4 linked regions of the Drosophila melanogaster genome follow. Changing the gene in region 3 together with the main gene of any one other region gives a genetic interaction. Each region holds a gene or a part of one and is shown on either strand. Other genes may lie near its edges. The genes, in order: pan, bsk, puc and Rac1.

Region 1 (5,215 bases), on a different chromosome or scaffold from region 3:
ATCAAAAGACTACACATTGAACATTCCACATAAACAGAAAAAAATGTTTTAAATAAAACAAAAAAAAAACTTTAAAAACTCGAAACCAATTTATTATAACTTACAACATTTTTTGTATAATTTACAACTACAGGCTGCTTGCAATAATCAACAGTTCATTAAAGAAAATAGGTACTATTAGGAGTGAGCATCGACTTCAACAGTTTTACAAAGAAATAAAGGGTTTAACCAAGTAAGGCGAAATAAAATTACATGTGTTTTGTCTTGCTTCCAATACTTAAGTCGTATGGGGCATCTATCATTGGAAAAATTTCAGTTTTCATTGATCCGGCATTTCCCTGTAAAGCGCATAGGCGCTCTTTAAACAGGTTAGTTATGGAAAGTTCCTGCGCTGTTAAAGATGCATTAGCCGAAGACAATGTCTTAGTAATTAAATGGGAAACATTTTCAGTTGGCAATGCTCTAATTGATGGCGACGTTTTCAGCTGATTAGTGATTTCGTTGTCAACATTTCCCCTTATTGCATTCGATTTAAAAGAATTTGTAGTCAGAGTTTCAATGTGCCTTGCAAGTCTTTGTTTTCTTCGGTTTTGACTTAGCCCGAAAATTCCAGAAACCATTCCAGTAGAGCATCCACTATTACTACCAGTCGATGGGGTTGAAGGTGCAGTAGAAAACTCAGGAACAAGTAGAGGATCGGTAACGATTGACTCAGCTGAACTTTCTCGATTGTAATTAAACACAATAGGCAATTGCGTTGTGACATTATAATTTTCTGTAACATCTGTTAAATTTGATGCAGATGTAAGCAAGCGAGAGGTTTCAATGTTAGAAGATGAAGACAATGAAGCATATTCTAAAATAATCTCAGCTGCAGTGCTACAAGGCTCTACGTCTTTTTTGTGGCGAAAGGTTTGCCTTGTCGAATGCCATATGCAAGTGGGTGCTGAATTTGATTCTTCGCAATCGCTTTTAACACTATCACTGTAGGATTCATGAGGGGTGCTAGCAGAGCTGGATTGATGCATATTAACAGATGATGCGAGTTGTAATATTATATCTTCTATTTCGACCAACGTTTTAGGTTTTGCTGAGGTCAAAAAAAAATCGGACTCACTTTCAACATCTGGAATCTTAGAGTGCACTGCATTTGTTTTCTGTGGCAAAATACTTTCATTAGACAGTGCTATAGCAGCTAATGCCATGATAGTATGTGTTGGTGTAGATGTATATTCACCATCTTCCTCTGATGGGAGTCCTAATCGTTGTAAGCTGCGAACATAATAGAGCTCAGCGCTGCTCCATTGATTATATAATCGTTTTACCTCTTCCAGTAAGTTTTCAATAGACTTGCGATTTCCATTTAGTTGTCGTCTTACACTTTCCTCAAGGGCTGAATTAGAGCCATTATTTACTTCAATGTGACTTTGACGTACACTTAACCTTTTCCTAAATTTACCTGAGCTATCTGAGAGATTATCTAGTTTTTTTTTAATGTCGATAAGAATGTTTTTTTGCTCCCTGATAAAATCACACGTGTGTTGTAAGTCGTACCCATCTAGGGCTTCCTTGTTCGATTTTAATTTTGGTGAGTAACAATTTTTGTCGTCTTGTTTATTTTTTTGTTCTGCTCTTTGATGAACGTTAGAAAATTCAAACAAAGGGGGATCTACACAACTTATGCTGTTTTCGATATCTTTAATTAACTTAATATTGTTATTATTATCCTGCGAAGATGGGGTTGACAGAAGCTCATCTTCTCGAAGCATGGTCTTTTTAGATCCCGAATAATGAACCATGTTGAATTTATTCGAATGAAATTCCCGTTCAGCTAGCTGAGACCGAAGAAGCCGAGCGTATAAAAGTTGTGTGGCCAAAAGCTGCTGCTGCGAGCATGGCTGCTGATTTAGCATACTATTCGTATATATACAAGAAAACATTTCATTTCGTTGGCGAAAACTGTCATTTTGCCAATTTTCTATTTCTTCAGCGGTTTGCCAAGGCTGAGAAATTAATTTATTCGGACTTAAAAGAAGTTCGGAAAACGATGCCTCCATTCCGTCTGATCTACTTGATGGTACAATACAAACTTTATCCAAATCATTGCAGTTATATTGTTCTATTTTGTTGGCAGTTAATTGCGTATATTGGTTATTGAACCCACCATCAGGGACCTGGCTCGTTTTCAAATTGATTGAACATTTTTTATCGTGCTTTTTTTGTAGATCCTCATTGCTCTTCTTTTTCTGGTAACTGATTAATTCGTTTGAGTTTAAATTAATTTCACTATTAGTTGTTCCACAGTGTGGCATTATCGGATTTTGTGGGAGCCTGCTGTTAAAATCCGTTCGGTGTTAGTCATTCGTTAACTTTTTGTTTTATATTTTATTTATATTATTTATTGGATAAATTGTATTTCAAAATTTTAAACATTTCTATTAACCTTTAGAATCTTAGTTCACCTTGATGACTCAAATTTAATTAAATTAGTACTTTTTCAAGCACCATTGTACAACTTTTCAACATTTCATACAGGGTTCGTTGTTTATAAAATTTTCTTGCAATATTAATGAGATTTAGATAGCGTAATATTTATGTTATAATCCAGAATCCATGCGTTGTTTTCATTTTTTTAATTATATAGAAATCTCATTTTAATTAACGTTACCCTGTTGCTCGACTGTTGCAATATGAGGTCGTAATTTTTTTTTGTTTTATTTGTTTGTTAATTGTAATTTCCACATTGTGTTAGAGGAAGCCACAATTGTTTTACTTATTTAGTTCACTGTTAATATGGTCAATAATCGGTTTATATACTATCTCCATTTATTCCGACATATTTATATTACTAAATCGATCAACACTATATTAGTATTATTATGGAAACAAAAGATGACATCCTATTTTTAAAACTTATATTTAATTTATAAATACACTTTATATGTAAACACTCGATTTCATCATACACTTCGTGTTATTATTCTACTTGTGTTCTAATGGACAAATCGAATAAAGATTATTTTTTTCATTTGTGTTCATAAATTGTTCTTTCCGGAAATTGTTCAACTATTTTTAGGCATTGATTCCTTTAGATAGATTTTTCGCAAAATTGTATATACTGCCACAACAATTGTCTGATTTACTCTCTTTCGGTCTTTAAAAATAAAACTTAACGATAAAGGTGTACGACGCGGAACAAGAGAGACAAGGACGAGCCATCGGCTCGAAAATAACTGCGTGAGAAACATTGCGCACAAACTTTGTATCGAGCACATGTTTGTAACGAATTTGTAAAAAAAAAGTAATAGATACTATTAAATTTGTTTTTTTTTTCATTCTTAATTCATTCTTAAGAAATAATAAAGTTGTTTAATCTGTATTTTAAAAATATGTACTTCTGTGTAATGTGAATTTTACTGCTGCGTAAATTTACATTTTTACAAGTAAAATCGCAAAATGATGTATTTTTACAAATATTTTACATGAAAATATTCATAGCATCCAATGTTGGTACGACTCTTTTCAAATTTGACTTTAATTTACATTTTTTCTATACGTAATTCCAGATTAAAAGTAACCCATTTTTTAATTTTATTCATATTTTGTGTATGTATGTTAAATTTTTTGGATTTTACCTGGCAACATAACACGTGCAAAACTCAAGTGCCTTCAGATATAGATGGCGCCATGTAATTTCAAATCATATCTACGAATATATATATTTATATATATATGTATGGGCTTCAACAACGGAATACAGTAAACTAAACAATATTATATTAAGCTTGAGTTAAATTTAAATTTTCTAGACCACCTTAACTTAAAGCAAATAATTTAACATTTTGATTTAAAAAATATTATCAAAATATTTTTTATAAATTAGTACTTGAAAATTACATTTTTCGAGGATATATATTAGAAATTTATTTATTCACTGAAAACGGTTGAAAAAATCGGTTGATTCTAAATTAAAGATGTGTAAAACTTCTTATCACTAATCTTAATTGGCCAATTCAACTGTTTACTTGCTCATAATTATGTTCGTTAGTATTAATATGTCTTCGAAGAAAGTTTATTTTCGGTTGTCAACAAAAAATATATTTGTATATATATATATAAATATTTTTCGCTTTTCACAAAGAAGTTTTTTAGACAAATAAAAAACCTACTTTAATACATTTTAAATCCATGCATTTTAAAAAAGGCCTCTAAAGTCCAGTGACTCGACCTAAGAAAAAAGCAAGAGAGAATGCTATAATCGAGTTCCCCGACTATCAGGTACCCGTTACTCAGCTAGTGTGAATGTGAAATTTCATAATTTTTCTGGGATGTCAATAGATATTGAGGAGTAAAATGAAAAAAAATTTTAAAATTGTTCCAAGGCGTGGGAGTGACTGGTTCGGCGGCTTTAGAGCGTTAAAGTGAGCGTGACAAAAATTGAAAATCGATAGAAATTTACAAGACTAATAAATCTAAATAAAATAAAAAAAATATCAACACGTTTTTCAAAAGTGTGGGCGTGGAAGTTTTGTGCGGCTTGTGGGCGTGGCAACATGAGTCAACAATGTGGCGCTGCGTCTTGGTCTCTAGGATCTGTACGGTGAATATCAACCTACTAGCTTTTATAGTAAACAACAATTAAAATAGAAGTATGCAACAGCTAGATGGAAGCCTTTACGATATATATTCTCTTAGTATATATATTTAGTATATATATACATTTAGAATAGATATATTTAGTATATATATATATATATTTAGTACATATATATTTAGTATATATATATTTACTATATATATATATTTACTATATATATATTTAGTATATATATATAGAATACATGTTCCTGATCACTAGCAGAGTAGTTCCGGGAACTAACAAACCTAGAAATGTTAGGTTTCGAAATCATAATAGTTACACTTTTTGTTGAAATTAACATATATATTTATATATATTTTATATTTAGGATATAATTTTTGCAAGGATACAAACAAATGTTACATTTTCAGAAAATATATCTCAACAAATTTTACAAATATGTGTTATGTACTCAAAGTTTAAAAAAGGCTGACGACAGAGGTTTAAAACCGTTATGGATGTTTTTAAAAAATTAATATTAATAATATTTAATAATTTCAAAATTGTATACAAACTAGGTAAAGAAACCGTGCCAAAAAACAGTAAAAACAACCTTTATCAGCACATATAGAATAT
Region 2 (5,376 bases), on a different chromosome or scaffold from region 3:
TTGGGGGATACGAAAACATGGGCATTGCTCAAGACATCGCGACAAATGGTGCCATTGTAAATATGGCAAATACCTGATGATTGCTGGAAACTGCAGGGCAAATAATATATTGCATTTTTAAGGATTAAAAGGATAAGGGCGTCTAAAGATTTCTGCATTCGAGTATACACTATGTTTAGTAATTTAAAAATATATAAAACATGTTAAGCTCATGATTTCATTAATTATTAATTCCACACAAAAGTATTTCGCTAATTATTGTTGCGGAAACTTGGGAAAACTTTCAGTGAAAATACCTACCCATATATTCTTGAGTCCACATTATGGCTCCCCACATCCTTTTTTGTAAATAAAAGCACGAGCGAAATGCAGACTATAAATGCCGAGTATTTGTTCATATTGCTTAATCTAGCTAACAATATGAAGCCTTTTGTTATTTCAATAGTCCAATTGACATGCCAACGATTCCGAAAATATTTTTGTATTTATCCTTTCGCGAAAACTTTATGTGGCATACAACATTTCATCCCCCGACGAAGTCGTTGGGGTTGTTGACTCCTTATCGATGAATCGATATATTTAGGAGTGCTATGACTCGGAACAAAGGAATTACACTATAATTTCTTATAATTAATAATCCAAATATCTTCAAAAGCTTTATTTATTTTATTAAAGATGGTTGTATAACGACTTTAGTCTCATTTAAAGTACACTTTCCCTTTTCACAGTGAAATAAGGGTAGAAAAATTATGCGAAATACACAATAATATGAATTTAACATTAACAATGTATTTGGTTAAAGCATTTATCATAATGATCTAGAGATTATCTATTGCTTTCGGTGTTCCAATCGTAACTTATCGTTACTCCATGCTGTCGACAGTTTCCTCGGTAACAAAGCCCACAATGCTAAATGCAGTTTCCTCGCTGATCCACAGAAGTCCCACGATTAGTGCCTCCAACACTCCGATGGCAGCACCGGCGCAGATATCCAAAATATAATGACGCTGGAGGATGAGCCGTGAGATGGCCACGCTTACAGCCCAAGCTGTGACCGGCATTAGGAATATGATGTGAAGCGGATACAGCTTGGCGAAGAACAGCAGCACAAAGAACGCCCGGGAGGCATGACCTGAGGGAAAGCTGAACTTATCGGGTCCAATGGTCAGCATATCCTTGCTGGCCACCGGTCGCCTGCGACGAACAAGCGCCTTCAGCACGGCCACGATCACTACGTCGAGTATCAGGCCGAAGAGCATATTGACTTGCATTTGATACAAGCTCTTCGAGCTGAGCAACCAGATGAAGGCGATCCATGAGACAAACCAGGCGATTCCATCGCATGATATCTCCAGAAATCTGCTGTGGATCCGCAGGGATTTGAAGAACGACAGATTGGAGACGGCTACTACAAAATGCTTCGACACCTGAACATCCTTCTCCAATAGGTATTTAAGTGCTGGTGATGACTGCAAGGACAAGATTTTAAAATTAGCACTTATCAGCTTATGTGATTCATCAGTGGCCAAAAACCAACCGTCCTCATATCGCTGTGTATTTCAACTCTTTTGTTTTTATTTATTGTTAGTGATGACAGTATTTCTCATTCGTCATTCGATGTATACTCGATAAGTCGAGCAAAGGAATATCTAATGACCGGAACGGTGAAATGAAACACTGCGCCAACTTAGTTTTTGGTCTTTATTAAATAAATTGCATTTGTATATGTTTATTTGTAAGTTATTAACACTTATTAGGTTTTAAACCCCTAATTAAACCTAATTTTAATCAAAAGTCGATTGGCTGACTTTAGCCGTTTCTGGTTTTGGTCCTACTGCAATCTGGTCACATCGATTTAAGTAACTTTGTTGTGATCGAATATTCCAATAGATTTTCGTATATTGTATTGTATCCATGTACAATTATTCTCATGCGAAAGTGCCGCAGATAGTTGATTCTTAAATTTCAATAACATTAACATAGTTTAAAATGCTCGCCACTTTGAGTGCCCAGTGTGTAGAATAAAATAGAAAAAAAATCGATTTTATATTTTCACAAGAAATTCTGTACTTCTTCGTTAAATGGTAAATAAATATTCTATTACGTTCCATTCACATCAAATATCGAATCACCGAAACACTCCTGCAAAACGTGCCATAATCGATTGAAAGCAATTATAGTTGTGCCGGTTATGAAAAAAATTATTGATATTTAACATAAAATGTCAACTGCCCAAAGAGTGTATGTACCTATGTATGCGCAAATGTCTAACGTTTACATATCGACACTACCCGAAGCGTAGACCGCTTTATTATCTGCAGCGCAAACGAGCGCTTTTTCGATGTACGAATACGGGGAATATCTTTTATCTGAGAGATAGTTTGAAAAGTTACTAAATTATCGACCCACATTTGTGTGGCTGTATGTGCATATGTATGTATGTGGCTTACATCTTACACATATGTATACCAGTAGAAGTTTACAGTTTTCATCCGCATACAAATCGTGTGTATGTACATATTTACACAGGCAACGGCATGCATACACATGAACGCTATGTACATCGCTGTGGTCCAACATTCCGTACTTTTATGTTTAAGCCGGACATATCGATTTTAAATCGGTTTTTTTTCCTGTGCGTGCCGCTAAACACTTTGCTCAAAGAACGAAACGCTCGGTTATTTCTGTTGGGTGTTTTTCCAACCATATTCGACATGTGTTCGGCAAACATTTAAATGCTTATCAATAGAAAAGGGGGTTCGGCATTCGAAGTCGGCTCAAATAAGTGACTGCGTTATGCAATTGTATCTTTTTGAAGGAACTCGATATTTTTTGCTCGTGGTTTGGCAACAAACTCGCCACACACTAGCCAGTAAATTTCACCCCTCGCGACAACAGAGACCCACTTAATGGCCATAACATTCTGCCGAAATAAGGCCAGGCAAAGTTAATGTTTTCCTACCCCCTAATTCCAGACGAAGTTGTCTGAAAACTGCCTCCACCCATTCAGAATGGAGCCATACATACGGACGTCTTTGCTCCTTATATAAAACAGAATCACACTGTAAAACCGTATTGATTTATCTTATTTACCCTCTTGAAAAGGCCGATATGCTCCTTGCTCTCAACTAGTAATAAATAAAATCAGTGAACAATGACGACAGCTCAGCACCAACACTACACCGTCGAGGTGGGGGACACCAACTTCACCATCCACAGTCGGTACATTAATCTACGGCCCATAGGATCAGGTGCCCAAGGAATAGTATGGTAAGTGGTTATCAATATGTTATTACATATAATACATTTAACAATTTTTTGGCTTAAACAATTAAGATATTTCGCATGAGTATGAAGTCATATTTGTAACGCTCCATTGTATATTAGATTAGATTAGATGGGATTAGCTGGAATATGAAAAAAAAAAATAACAAATTTAATGCATTTCAGCGCCGCTTACGATACTATCACCCAGCAAAATGTGGCGATTAAGAAACTATCTCGACCATTCCAAAATGTAACCCATGCCAAGCGAGCATATAGGGAATTCAAGCTAATGAAGCTTGTTAACCATAAAAACGTATGAAACTTGCACCTTTAACTTTAACAAATTTCTACTAAACATAGGTATTTAATCCGTAGATAATTGGCTTACTTAATGCTTTTACGCCGCAAAGGAACTTGGAAGAGTTTCAGGATGTCTACCTGGTCATGGAGCTGATGGACGCTAATCTCTGCCAGGTCATCCAAATGGACTTGGATCACGACAGAATGTCCTATTTGCTTTATCAAATGTTGTGCGGAATAAAACATTTACACTCAGCAGGAATTATTCACAGAGTACGTACAGTATGAATACATCTTTAAAATGAGTATGAAATATATGAAATACTTCATTTGCAGGACTTAAAGCCATCCAATATAGTTGTAAAGGCCGACTGCACTCTAAAAATTTTGGATTTCGGTCTGGCACGTACTGCAGGAACTACCTTTATGATGACTCCCTATGTGGTCACCCGATATTACAGGGCTCCAGAGGTCATTTTGGGCATGGGATACACAGAGAACGTGGACATATGGTCCGTCGGTTGCATTATGGGCGAAATGATACGGGGCGGTGTGCTGTTTCCTGGAACGGATCATATAGATCAGTGGAATAAAATTATTGGTATGTTGCTGCTTAAATAACTTGATTCTCGTTATGATTGTCAACTTTTACGTTTTTTCAGAGCAATTAGGTACACCATCACCCTCGTTTATGCAACGGTTACAGCCAACCGTCCGAAACTATGTGGAAAATCGTCCTAGATACACTGGATACTCATTTGATAGACTTTTCCCCGATGGCTTGTTTCCAAATGATAATAATCAGAATAGCCGCCGGAAGGCTTCTGACGCTAGAAATCTTCTTAGTAAAATGCTAGTCATTGATCCAGAGCAGCGGATATCTGTGGACGAGGCTTTGAAGCATGAATATATCAACGTGTGGTATGATGCTGAGGAAGTGGATGCTGTAAGTGATTCTGGCATAAACTGGATTTCTAGGAATGTTGAATGTTTTTAATCGCTTAATTGCATGCATCTCTTGCAGCCCGCTCCGGAGCCATATGATCACAGCGTGGACGAAAGGGAACACACTGTGGAGCAGTGGAAGGAGCTAATCTATGAGGAAGTCATGGACTACGAAGCACACAATACAAATAATAGAACGCGGTAGAGAACGACTTTTTCCTCCTTAGTCAGTCACAAGAAAACTAAAGCTTACCAACAATACGGCGTGTATTGTTAAATTATTACAACAAATAAAATATTCAAATTGTATTTAAAAATATAGTAACCATTAAAAAATAAAATCAATATGCGAAACTTTGTAATTTCTTACTCATCCTTGTTTTTTGAGCCCGCTTTCTTAAGTTAAATCGTTAAAATACCAGTTTAATCATTTCATTGTCCTGATTTCAGGAGCTAATTACATTTTAATCTTTGTATAAATTCATAAAATTTAAATGGAAAAGTTTAACCATATAAATTATTTCGGTATATAAAGTCGATACATACTTTTAAAATTTTGTTTCATACAAGAATATGGAAAGTAGATAATTTAGTTACCGATAAAAACATTTCTAAAATACAAAAAATTTAAAATGATGATTAAATAAAAAACTGTTATACTAAATTTAAACGAAACAAACGGTCATTCGATAACTCAATTAGTATCGAATAAGCCGGCGTGTAAATCGGGCTGGCAACTCTCACCGGTGTAGAGATCGGGATGGCAACTTCGTACTGTTATTCCTATGCTGCGATAACGATAACAGCAAAGTGTCATCGCGAATAAATGTGGGTTTGATAATAAAGAATTGCGTTGGTGAACAA
Region 3 (5,002 bases):
GCTGCGGGTTAGCGCCGGCGTCCGTCCGCCGCCGTTCATTGCCGTTGATGATGACGTCGTCGATGTCACTTCGTCACATGCCAGATTCTCCCTGGACCGCTTGTTGGGATAGTCCTTCTGATTGGCTGCCGAGGGAAGGAGACGAAGACCAGAAAATACGCATTAATGCGGTGATTTAAAAACTGATTTTAATTGGCGGTTAGCGATTTGCTTAATTTTATAACCCATGATGTCAGCACGGACCGTGTATGGACCGCAGTGCGAAAAACTTGTCGCGCCAGGTTCCCCGTTCAAAAAAACCGCAAAAATATTTCGTTTCGATTGCCGCCTGCCAAAACTGACGTAAGACATTTATTTCGGCTCTAGAGTTTTTTTTTCTTCTTTTTCGCCTGATTACGAGCGAATGCAAAGCCAAAGTTTTCCACATTCGCTCGCAGCTCACAAGTCGCTTATCACAGTGAGCAGGCATAATTAGAGAACGCTTTGTAAGCTAGCCCGATACCAATTTGATAGTATATTATAGTAAAACACAATCCAGATTATTCATTTATAGGTAAGTCTGAACAAAAGCTGTCAATAACAAATAGTTGAAAACTTTTTTAGTACGGCAATCTTGGGTTTTTAATGCTGGTATATTTATGTTCTTAGCATCATTCTGATTTCTTCGAATATTATTAAAATTAATCTTGTAGTAAATATTTGTTTTTAAAAACTTCAAGTACGATTTTCCCCCTACACTAAACTTTAATTTTAAGCCATGTTCCTTGATTGAAGGGTATCATTTCAGCCGTCCGTCAAAAGAAAAAACTTGATAAGATAACCAATGCTACAGTTTGTATTATGTTTTCAAAGTGGTCTTAGGAGTTCGGACTGTGCTGACTTGATCAAATCGACTTTATCAGCCTTGCCAGAAAGTATAGTCTCTTTTATGCTGAAAAGCAAAACAACTTCGAGCAAACTACTGGGGTACAAAATTGCTGTTATCAGCCAAGCGACCTCAAAAGCCAAAAAACAACACAGAAAAAAGCAACAGCCTCAAAAAAAGTACAACCAACTTTTCACCGCGGCAGGAAACGTTGGTTATGTTTTTTTTTTGTCGCTGTTGTTGTTGTTTGCGGCTAGTAAAACAAGTAAAATCGCATGCCAATAGTGCATTGCAAACCTCCAGGGGCGTCTGGGTCTGGAGTGTGTGGGTTTCGAAGGGGGCCTATGGTGTGGGAAACGGGGGGAGTGGTGTGAAGTAGAGTAGAAAATAGGAAAGTGCTAATTAGTATACAGTGGCTTGTTTACTTTTGGAAATGAGCTATGCATCAGCTTTCTGTTCACTATTTTGTCCAACTTTTGGGTTGCGATTCGCCATTATGTTTACTGTTATTAGTAATTCGCTGTTTATTGTCTAAAAAAAACTTGGCAACAAGGTAGTAAATCTTTCACTTTAAGATGATATTAATTTTAAGTGATTTATAAAGCGATTGTAATGCTTCAACTTATATTATATTTAATAAATTTCAACTATTCTGTAAATGTTTTGGAACTTTGACTCAACGAGGGCACCCCTTTTTAGTTTCGCCCCTGGCCCTTGCAACTAACCCTTCCTGCTCTTCCGCTCTTTCTTACCGACTCCCAACTTCAGTTTTGAGTTGTTGCCGCGGCTGTTGCTTTTTCTCCTTCTGCTCCCCTTTTGGCCTCCTCCTTCGCACGCTTCTCCCTTCTTCTGTTGTTGTTGTGCCGATGAATTCGTACTCGAAAGGTCGTTTCAAAGCGGGTTTTTCAGCGTTGCCAGGCCGCTTGAGAAACCTGCTTTGCTTTACATTTTTTCTGTTGTTTTATTTTTTTTATTTGTACTCGTATTTTGTTGGACTGACTGATTTTTTTTTTCATTTATCCAGCCAACAGAAACGAATCGAAACGCTTCTTTTGCTTTTATTTTTGAAAGACACGCGAATTGTGAGTCACGTATGGAGCGAAAAAAAGTAACTGACTCTGAGTCTGATCTCTCTCGAGTTCGTTTCTTTTTGCTTGTTTTTGCTTTTGTAGAAATGAAATGGAGACGCTTACGTGTGCTCCCCCTCTCTTTCGCGCCCCAGCAAAAGTAAACAGCATGCCGAGCGGTAAAAATCAAGAGAGCAAGAGAGAGGGATTAATACGTTCTCCCTGTCCCGCTCTTTTGATTGGTTTGAGTGTAATCTTAAATTGTACGATTTTTCTTATTGCTTATTTCTGTTGATTTGATTCTTTTTTTCGCTTCTTTTTGTACTTACCACCAATGCGATTGTTGTTGTTGGTATTTTGGATTGGCATAAATAACAGAAGACACGGCGCTTCTCGCTTTATCCGCATTTTCATTTCACTTTGTATATGACTCACGCTGTCGCCGTCTCCGTCGCACTCACAGCGTCCGTTGTGGCTGTTGTTGTTGCGTGCTGTTGACGTTGCCGTTGTAGTGTTGTTGCTATTATTGTTGCTGCTGCTCTGCGTTTCTCGATTCACACACATATGCACGCGCTCACACTACACACATACACATGGGGGCCTTTGGTTGTTTTAAAATTGATATATGTATATTTTATTTGTTGCTTTCTGCCCGTATAATAATCTATATTATTTAAGTATGATTTTCGGTAGGAGGGCTTTATTAGATAATCCCCGAGCCACTTGTTGAGCCACTTCCCGTTATAAAGTGTGTTGCAACCAAAAGTCGGGGGCCCAGAAATCGAGTTTTATTTCCACTTGTAGCACGCACACTTATTTTTAATTCATTAATCGAAAAACGCGCGGGTTGTAGATCTCGTTTTTATATTTTATTTTAGTATTAATTGTTTGCTTCCTCTTCTCACGATTCGTGTTAAAATTATTGTATCCAATGATAAATGTTTTTACCAGAAATATTCTAGTTTTAATTTCCTACTGTTTTCGCGCGGAGCTTAGTTATTTTTCGAACTCGTTGTGCAAAGATGTAGACACAACCGTTCGAAGCGGTATTCAAAAGGCGAATGAATGACCGAATGAATGAGCGCAAGACGAATGAACGGGCGCAAAACAAATTTGATAACCGAATTTGATAAAGACGCGATTAGTGTGACCAGAGGCTACTACAGTTAAAAAAGGCTAACAAGCTGAAACTTTACTCTACGCTCACCAAATTCACCAACACTGAAGACTTTGCGGTTGAATTTGAAATTAAAGTATATATAATAGCCACAATTGTTGACAAATGAAGTTAAAATAAGCTATTACATACTTTGACCTATGATCATAATACAATTTTTATTTATTTATTTTTTATTTATTACACGTTAAAGGTTAATTATTTTCGAAACATGCTGACATTTGACTTTGTATAATTGCTTTTGACATGCTGTATATATACTAATTTTCTTTTATCTCGGGCTCAAACCTTTTGTTAGTTTATATTGATGAATTCCATTTATTCATTATAATTTTTATGAATATAGCAATGCTCGTTATAAACCTCTTTAAATTCTTCGTTGTCAAAACATTTTATTTGTCACTACAGAGATGCGCTCATGTCTACCCAAGTGCCTCAGCAAACCAATCCCAACCAAACCCGTCAAACCCCACCTGAATCTCCGCAACCCAGTAACATGGAACAAATGTTTGCTCGCTTCGAAGGAATGGTCGAAAGGATGATGGAGAAGATGTTCTCGCAAATGACGCAGCTTGTTGCTTCCATCCTCAACGCAAAAGTATGCAAAGCCTAAAAATAGTTATTTGGAATGCTAACGGCCTGCAGAGGAGCAGAGCCGAGGTGGAACACCTCCTAAAAACAGATGCCATCGATGTACTACTGGTATCAGAAACCCACTTTTGTCCCAGATCCCATTTTAGCATTAGCGGCTACGATGTCATCCCTGCCAACCATCCATCTGGCAGAGCGCGCGGAGGAGCAGCCATGCTCATCAGGAGTGGCATCCAGTACACGGAGCTACCTGCGTTTCAGGAGGAATGGGCCCAGTGTGCCCTGGCCAGAATCTCCAGCCTACATGGAGACATCACCGTTGGAGCGGTCTACTTCCCACCTAGACACTCGATCACCGAGACTCACCTACAAGATTTTTTTGAGTCCTTTGGACCTCGCTTTATAGCAGCTGGTGACTTCAACGCCAAACACTCCTGGTGGGGGTCCCGCTCCATCAACCCCAAAGGCAGAACGCTCCACAGATTCCTGCAGAGCAGAAGACTGGATTGCCACTCCTCTGGTGAGCCTACCCACTGGCCTTCAAACCCTTCCTTGCTGCCCGACCTCCTGGATTTTGCTATCTCCAAAGGCATAGGGCAAGACAGACTAACTTGCTCCAACTATAACAAGCTGATATCCGACCACAGCGCTATAAAAATGCTTCTCAACATCCCCGTCCTCAAAAAAGAGTTGCCCAGAAGACTCACCGGGAAGCACACTGATGCCTCCAAGTTCACACTCTGGATGCTGTCCTCCCTGCACCCGGATCCTCCACTCTCCACTCCAAGCAACATCGATGCGGCAATCAAAACTCTCACGGATGAGATGTACAATGCTGCTGAGTTTGCCAATCCTCCTCCTTCAACGTCCCCAAGAACTCCCGGTAGAGACCTTCACCTCTGGTCTCCAGAAATTGCGGCCTTCGTAGCGGAAAAAAGGCGCCTCAGGAGAATCTGGTTCTTCTCGCGCAACCCAAGGGACAAGGCAGCACTCAACAGAGCCATCAAGGAACTCAAGGACAAGCTGTGTACCCTACGGCAAGACTCCTTCGACAGATTCCTTGAGGAGCTGGAACCTGGTGACCCGCAACATAATCTGTGGCAAGTCACGCGTCATATCAGGAGGCCTGCAAAGAAGGCGTCGCCGGTGCGCAAAGCGGACGGCTCTTGGTGCCGCTCTGAAGCCGAAAGAGCTGAAGCGTTTGCAGATCACCTCCAGAATGCATTCTCACCATTTGACAGATGCACTGGCGAAGAGCGTGCTGCAACCACCAGGTTCCTAGAGAGTCCATGTCCTCCTAGC
Region 4 (4,113 bases), on a different chromosome or scaffold from region 3:
GCCACAGATACGCCGCCTTTGCCTGTGTAACATATGTATAAACATAAATGATTTTCGCTGTAGCCCGATTTATTTCCAGCTGCGAGAACATTCCAAAGAGAGTGTGAGTGCACCGGAAAAAACAATAGGAATCTTGAATGCCTACGATTGCCACTTATCTGGACTTGATACTACATTTTACATCTAACTATTATTAACAAGATCATTTTAGAGTTTAGTTGCAACATGTTCAATAAAATGCTTTTATTCTATTTACTTCTATATATTTATATTTTATTTTCATGCTAACCATAAATACTTCTTTCTCGGTGTAGAACCAGAAGTGAGGAGCTCCGGGAATCGGTTATTTTGTTTCAAGCTGATTTAGATTATTTTCGGTTCTCGACTTTCGCCGAGATAAGCAAAATAATTCGTTCTTCGGCGTTGATAAGTCTGTCTCCGTTGTGGGTACAGTGAGCACTCGAGCGAGGGCCAATGTCGGCCATTGACGAATGGAGTTTGATAAACAATCAAGAATATTTGAATGCGTGAGCTATGTAAGTAAGTATATGTGCTGGTGCTGCGAAGATCTTGGAGAAGAAAAGAGCACTCAGATATCTTTTCGATGAGTGATTCGACTTAGCTAAAACTAGTTTTACGCTCTTTCCCACTCATAGTTCCCTAATATGCGCAGATCGTTTTCTAGTATTCACTACATATGATATGTCAGAAGAATATAAGAAACATATCACAATAAATAAACCAAAACTCCTTTTATTATGCTTTATTGATTTCCATTGAAATAGACACATTTATATAATTATCTTGGCTTCGTTCATGTTTTTTGTTTTTCTTTTGTTTCTTGAATATCTGTCGTTTAAAATACAAAGTATTCAAAGTTGCTCAGTTTGATGCCTTTAATTCAGTACATAGTATACGAAGGACTTTTCATCTTATACATACATGTATATATATTGATAGTTCCTGGATCTAGCAAAAGTTTAAAAAGTTGTTACTCGCCCGCGCCGTCGCTTCGATATCCAACAACATCTAAATACAAGTATGTAATAATGTAAGTGTAATTGCAATGGAACGTTTACTTTACTGACTCAATATCCTGATCCCTTCCGCAGGACCTTCGATCAACATCTATGCGACATCTATGCTTTATGCTCATTATGCGGCTATTCTCGTACTTGTCTCACATTTTTTTTAGGTTTTTCGTTTGTTTTTTTTTTTTTGTTTTGTTTTGTTTTTGGTTTTACCTCAGTTTTACAACATTAATTTTAATTACAAAAGTTATTAAATAATACAAAATACAGTTAGAGTTTACAGTTCTCCATTTCGTCTAGAAACATCTCGCTTTTAACTTTTAGTTGAAATTAATGCACGAATAAACAGAATAATTGGATTATGAATTACAGAACACTCGAAACAAACTCAGAACTCGGAAACGAAACAAAAGCAAGAGTTGGGTTGGGTTGGGTTGGGGGAATCCCCCCCTAGCAGCGGAAATTAGTGGCAAAATTGTAACAAAGAAACTACGGATGAGCCATTTAGCCTGGCCACGCTTAGGTTACATAATGGTTTTATAGTTAATAATATTACGTTTAAGCAGAGTCCGTCGGTGGAACACCACCGACCAACTGTCTAACTCTTTTAGAGCAGGGCGCACTTGCGCTTGGACTTGGGCTGCAGCACGGGGCACAAAACCGACCGGATGGCCTCGTCGAAAACGGTTTTCAGACCCTTCTGCGTCAGGGCCGAGCACTCCAGATACTTGACCGCTCCGATTTCCTTGGCCATGGCCAGGCCCTGCGGATAGGTGATGGGCGCCAGTTTCTTGTCCCTCAGCTTTTCGATTGTGTTCTTGTCGTCGCGCAAATCCAGCTTGGTGCCCACCAGGATGATGGGCGTGCTGGGGCAGTGGTGGCGCACCTCCGGATACCACTTGGCCCGCACGTTCTCGAACGATGCCGGATTCACCAGCGAGAAGCAGATGAGGAAGACATCGGTCTGGGGATAAGACAGTGGCCTCAGTCGGTCGTAGTCCTCCTGCCCGGCCGTATCCCACAGGCCCAGGTTGATGGGCTTGGCGTCCACCATCACGTTGGCCGAGTAGTTGTCGAACACGGTGGGTATGTACTCGCCGGGAAAGGCATTGGTCGTGTAGCTGATCAGCAGGCAGGTCTTTCCCACGGCTCCGTCGCCCACGACGACGCACTTGATCGCCTGCATGGTTCGATTTCCTCGACTTTCTGGACTGGAGTGCTATGTGCCTAGAGATTGGAGATTGAAGATTGCAGATTTCTGATTGCGGGGGTGCTTCTTCTTCAGGCGTTTTTGGTTCTTTTTGGGGCGGCGGCGGAGGACTGTTGCTTGCGTGGGTCCTTTTGCGGGGTTATCTCTGGAAGCGCGACTCCTTTTCCAGTGCCTTGTGGTCCTCGGGGCGACTGATGATCGCGCCTTACGTTCTGGGCCTCTTTAACTCGCGTTTTGTGCGTTAATTTCCCTAATTTTCTCAACAAAAAAAGTAAATTTTCTGTGTACTGCAGTGTGACCGCGGCTGGACTGTTCAAATTTACCATGGGAAAGCTGTAAAATACTAAAACAAATTAAAACTGCATTGAAATGGTCACCCTAAGATTTGTAAATTATTTCAAGGCTTCGTCCTTAAAGCAAACATAAAACCCTTAAGTTTCGCATTTACTTATAATTAAATCCGAATTACAAAATATATAATTTCATTGTCTTCCTGTTTATGTCAGTGATTTGAAGTGAGAACAAGCTGTTTTTAGTAGGGCTGGGCCCCAGAAGTGCAGCTTCTGGGCTTTGGCTGCACCTGGTCACACTTCTGGCAGCAAATAATACAATTTCGAAAATTAGAATTTATTTGCTGCTCAATAGCCAAGTCAATAACACCTGTTCCTTGCCCATCCAGAATGTCTGACGTGTTCATCGTGTCCGCCGCCCGCACGCCCATTGGTAAAACCAAGATAAATCGGCTGCACCATACACGATAACCACATTCTAATTGGAAACTTTCTCTTCGTGTTTGTCCAATCTGAAAAATCAACAGGTAGCTTCAATGGAACGCTTTCTAAACTGAAGGCCTCCGACCTGGGCAGCGTGGTCATCCAGGAGGTACTCCGGCGGGCGAATGTGGAGGGCCAGGAGGTCAACGAAGTCATCTTGGGCCAGGTGGGACCCATATCATAACTGTTTCTCCTCCTATCTTACCGATCTATTTGTTATGTAAATATCTTTGTTAGGCTCTAAGCGCCGGTCAGGGTCAGAATCCAGCACGTCAGGCTTCACTCAAGGCGGGTCTGCCCATTCAGGTGCCAGCCTACGGCATAAACATGCTATGTGGTTCCGGCTTAAAGTGAGTTTGTCCCGTACAATTCCGTACATTTACAATGGTTTTTACCATTTCCAGAACTGTAGCGCTGGGTTACCAGGCCATCCGCTCGGGAGACGCACAGATTGTTGTGGCAGGAGGTCAGGAGAGCATGTCCCTGGCTCCACACGTCATGCATCTGCGGCAGGGCGTCAAAATGGGTCCGGGCACTATGGTGGACTCGATGATCCACGACGGCCTAACCGATGCCATGGAGAACATACACATGGGCATCACTGCCGAGAATCTGGCCGATAAGTATAACATCAGTCGTGAGGCCCAGGATGCCTATGCCGTGCTGTCGCAAAATCGAGCCGAGGAGGCCCAAAAAAAGGGTTACTTCGACAAGGAGATTGTGCCCGTGGAGATCAAGGATCGCAAGGGTACGACCACATTCAGCAAGGATGAGTACATCAAGGCGGGCAGCACCGTCGAGGGTATACAGAAGCTCAGGGCAGCCTTCAAAGAGGTGGGTCTAAGATAAATACAAGAAGAGCGAGAGTTAACCCACTTTCTCTTGCTTATGTAGGGCGGCTCTATAACCGCTGGCAATGCCTCAGGCGTCAACGACTCCGCTGCTGCCGTACTACTGATGTCCGGCGAGGAGGTGGCCAGGAAGGGTCTTAAGCCGCTGGCTAGGATTGTGGGCTGGACTCAGAGTGGCATTGAGCCAAAGGTGATGGGACTGGGACCAGTCACAGCTGTGGAAGCATTGGTAGTTACACGGAAATTCC

The links.
Region 1: of puc (region 3) and pan, changing one suppresses a phenotype caused by changing the other (phenotypic suppression), as found in Drosophila melanogaster (3 studies listed by BioGRID).
Region 2: of puc (region 3) and bsk, changing one suppresses a phenotype caused by changing the other (phenotypic suppression), as found in Drosophila melanogaster (4 studies listed by BioGRID).
Region 4: of puc (region 3) and Rac1, changing one enhances a phenotype caused by changing the other (phenotypic enhancement), as found in Drosophila melanogaster (3 studies listed by BioGRID).

Annotation. Positions count from the first base shown.
Region 1 is NC_004353.4:88,311-93,525, reverse strand, and holds the start of pan (pangolin), read right to left. Parts: upstream 3,172-5,215; 5' UTR 2,313-3,171; coding exon 253-2,312; intron 1-252. UniProt on the Drosophila melanogaster protein: Segment polarity protein. Functions together with arm to transduce the Wingless (Wg) signal in embryos and in developing adult tissues.
Region 2 is NT_033779.5:10,246,989-10,252,364, reverse strand, and holds bsk (basket), read left to right. Parts: upstream 1-1,863; 5' UTR 1,864-2,084; intron 2,085-2,622; exon of another isoform or gene 2,623-3,105; 5' UTR 3,106-3,154; coding exon 3,155-3,270; intron 3,271-3,450; coding exon 3,451-3,580; intron 3,581-3,642; coding exon 3,643-3,840; intron 3,841-3,903; coding exon 3,904-4,168; intron 4,169-4,229; coding exon 4,230-4,513; intron 4,514-4,591; coding exon 4,592-4,717; 3' UTR 4,718-4,863; downstream 4,864-5,376. Other genes in the region: Ror, read right to left, coding at 1-90, 301-398; CG31717 (uncharacterized protein), read right to left, coding at 864-1,469, 1,538-1,546. UniProt on the Drosophila melanogaster protein: Mitogen-activated protein kinase and key component of the c-Jun N-terminal kinase (JNK) pathway which phosphorylate and activate transcription factors involved in a wide range of biological processes including response to various stresses, cellular proliferation, differentiation and migration, and regulation of cell shape.
Region 3 is NT_033777.3:8,103,355-8,108,356, reverse strand, and holds the start of puc (puckered), read right to left. Parts: upstream 3,026-5,002; 5' UTR 2,497-3,025; coding exon 2,262-2,496; intron 1,870-2,261; exon of another isoform or gene 1,618-1,869; intron 126-1,617; coding exon 1-125.
Region 4 is NT_037436.4:1,300,130-1,304,242, forward strand, and holds Rac1 (Rac1), read right to left. Parts: upstream 2,555-4,113; 5' UTR 2,218-2,554; coding exon 1,639-2,217; 3' UTR 750-1,638; downstream 1-749. Other genes in the region: Acat2 (Acetyl-CoA acetyltransferase 2), read left to right, coding at 2,922-2,964, 3,059-3,180, 3,252-3,364, 3,419-3,848, 3,909-4,094. UniProt on the Drosophila melanogaster protein: During various developmental processes, regulates changes in cell morphology in response to extracellular signals.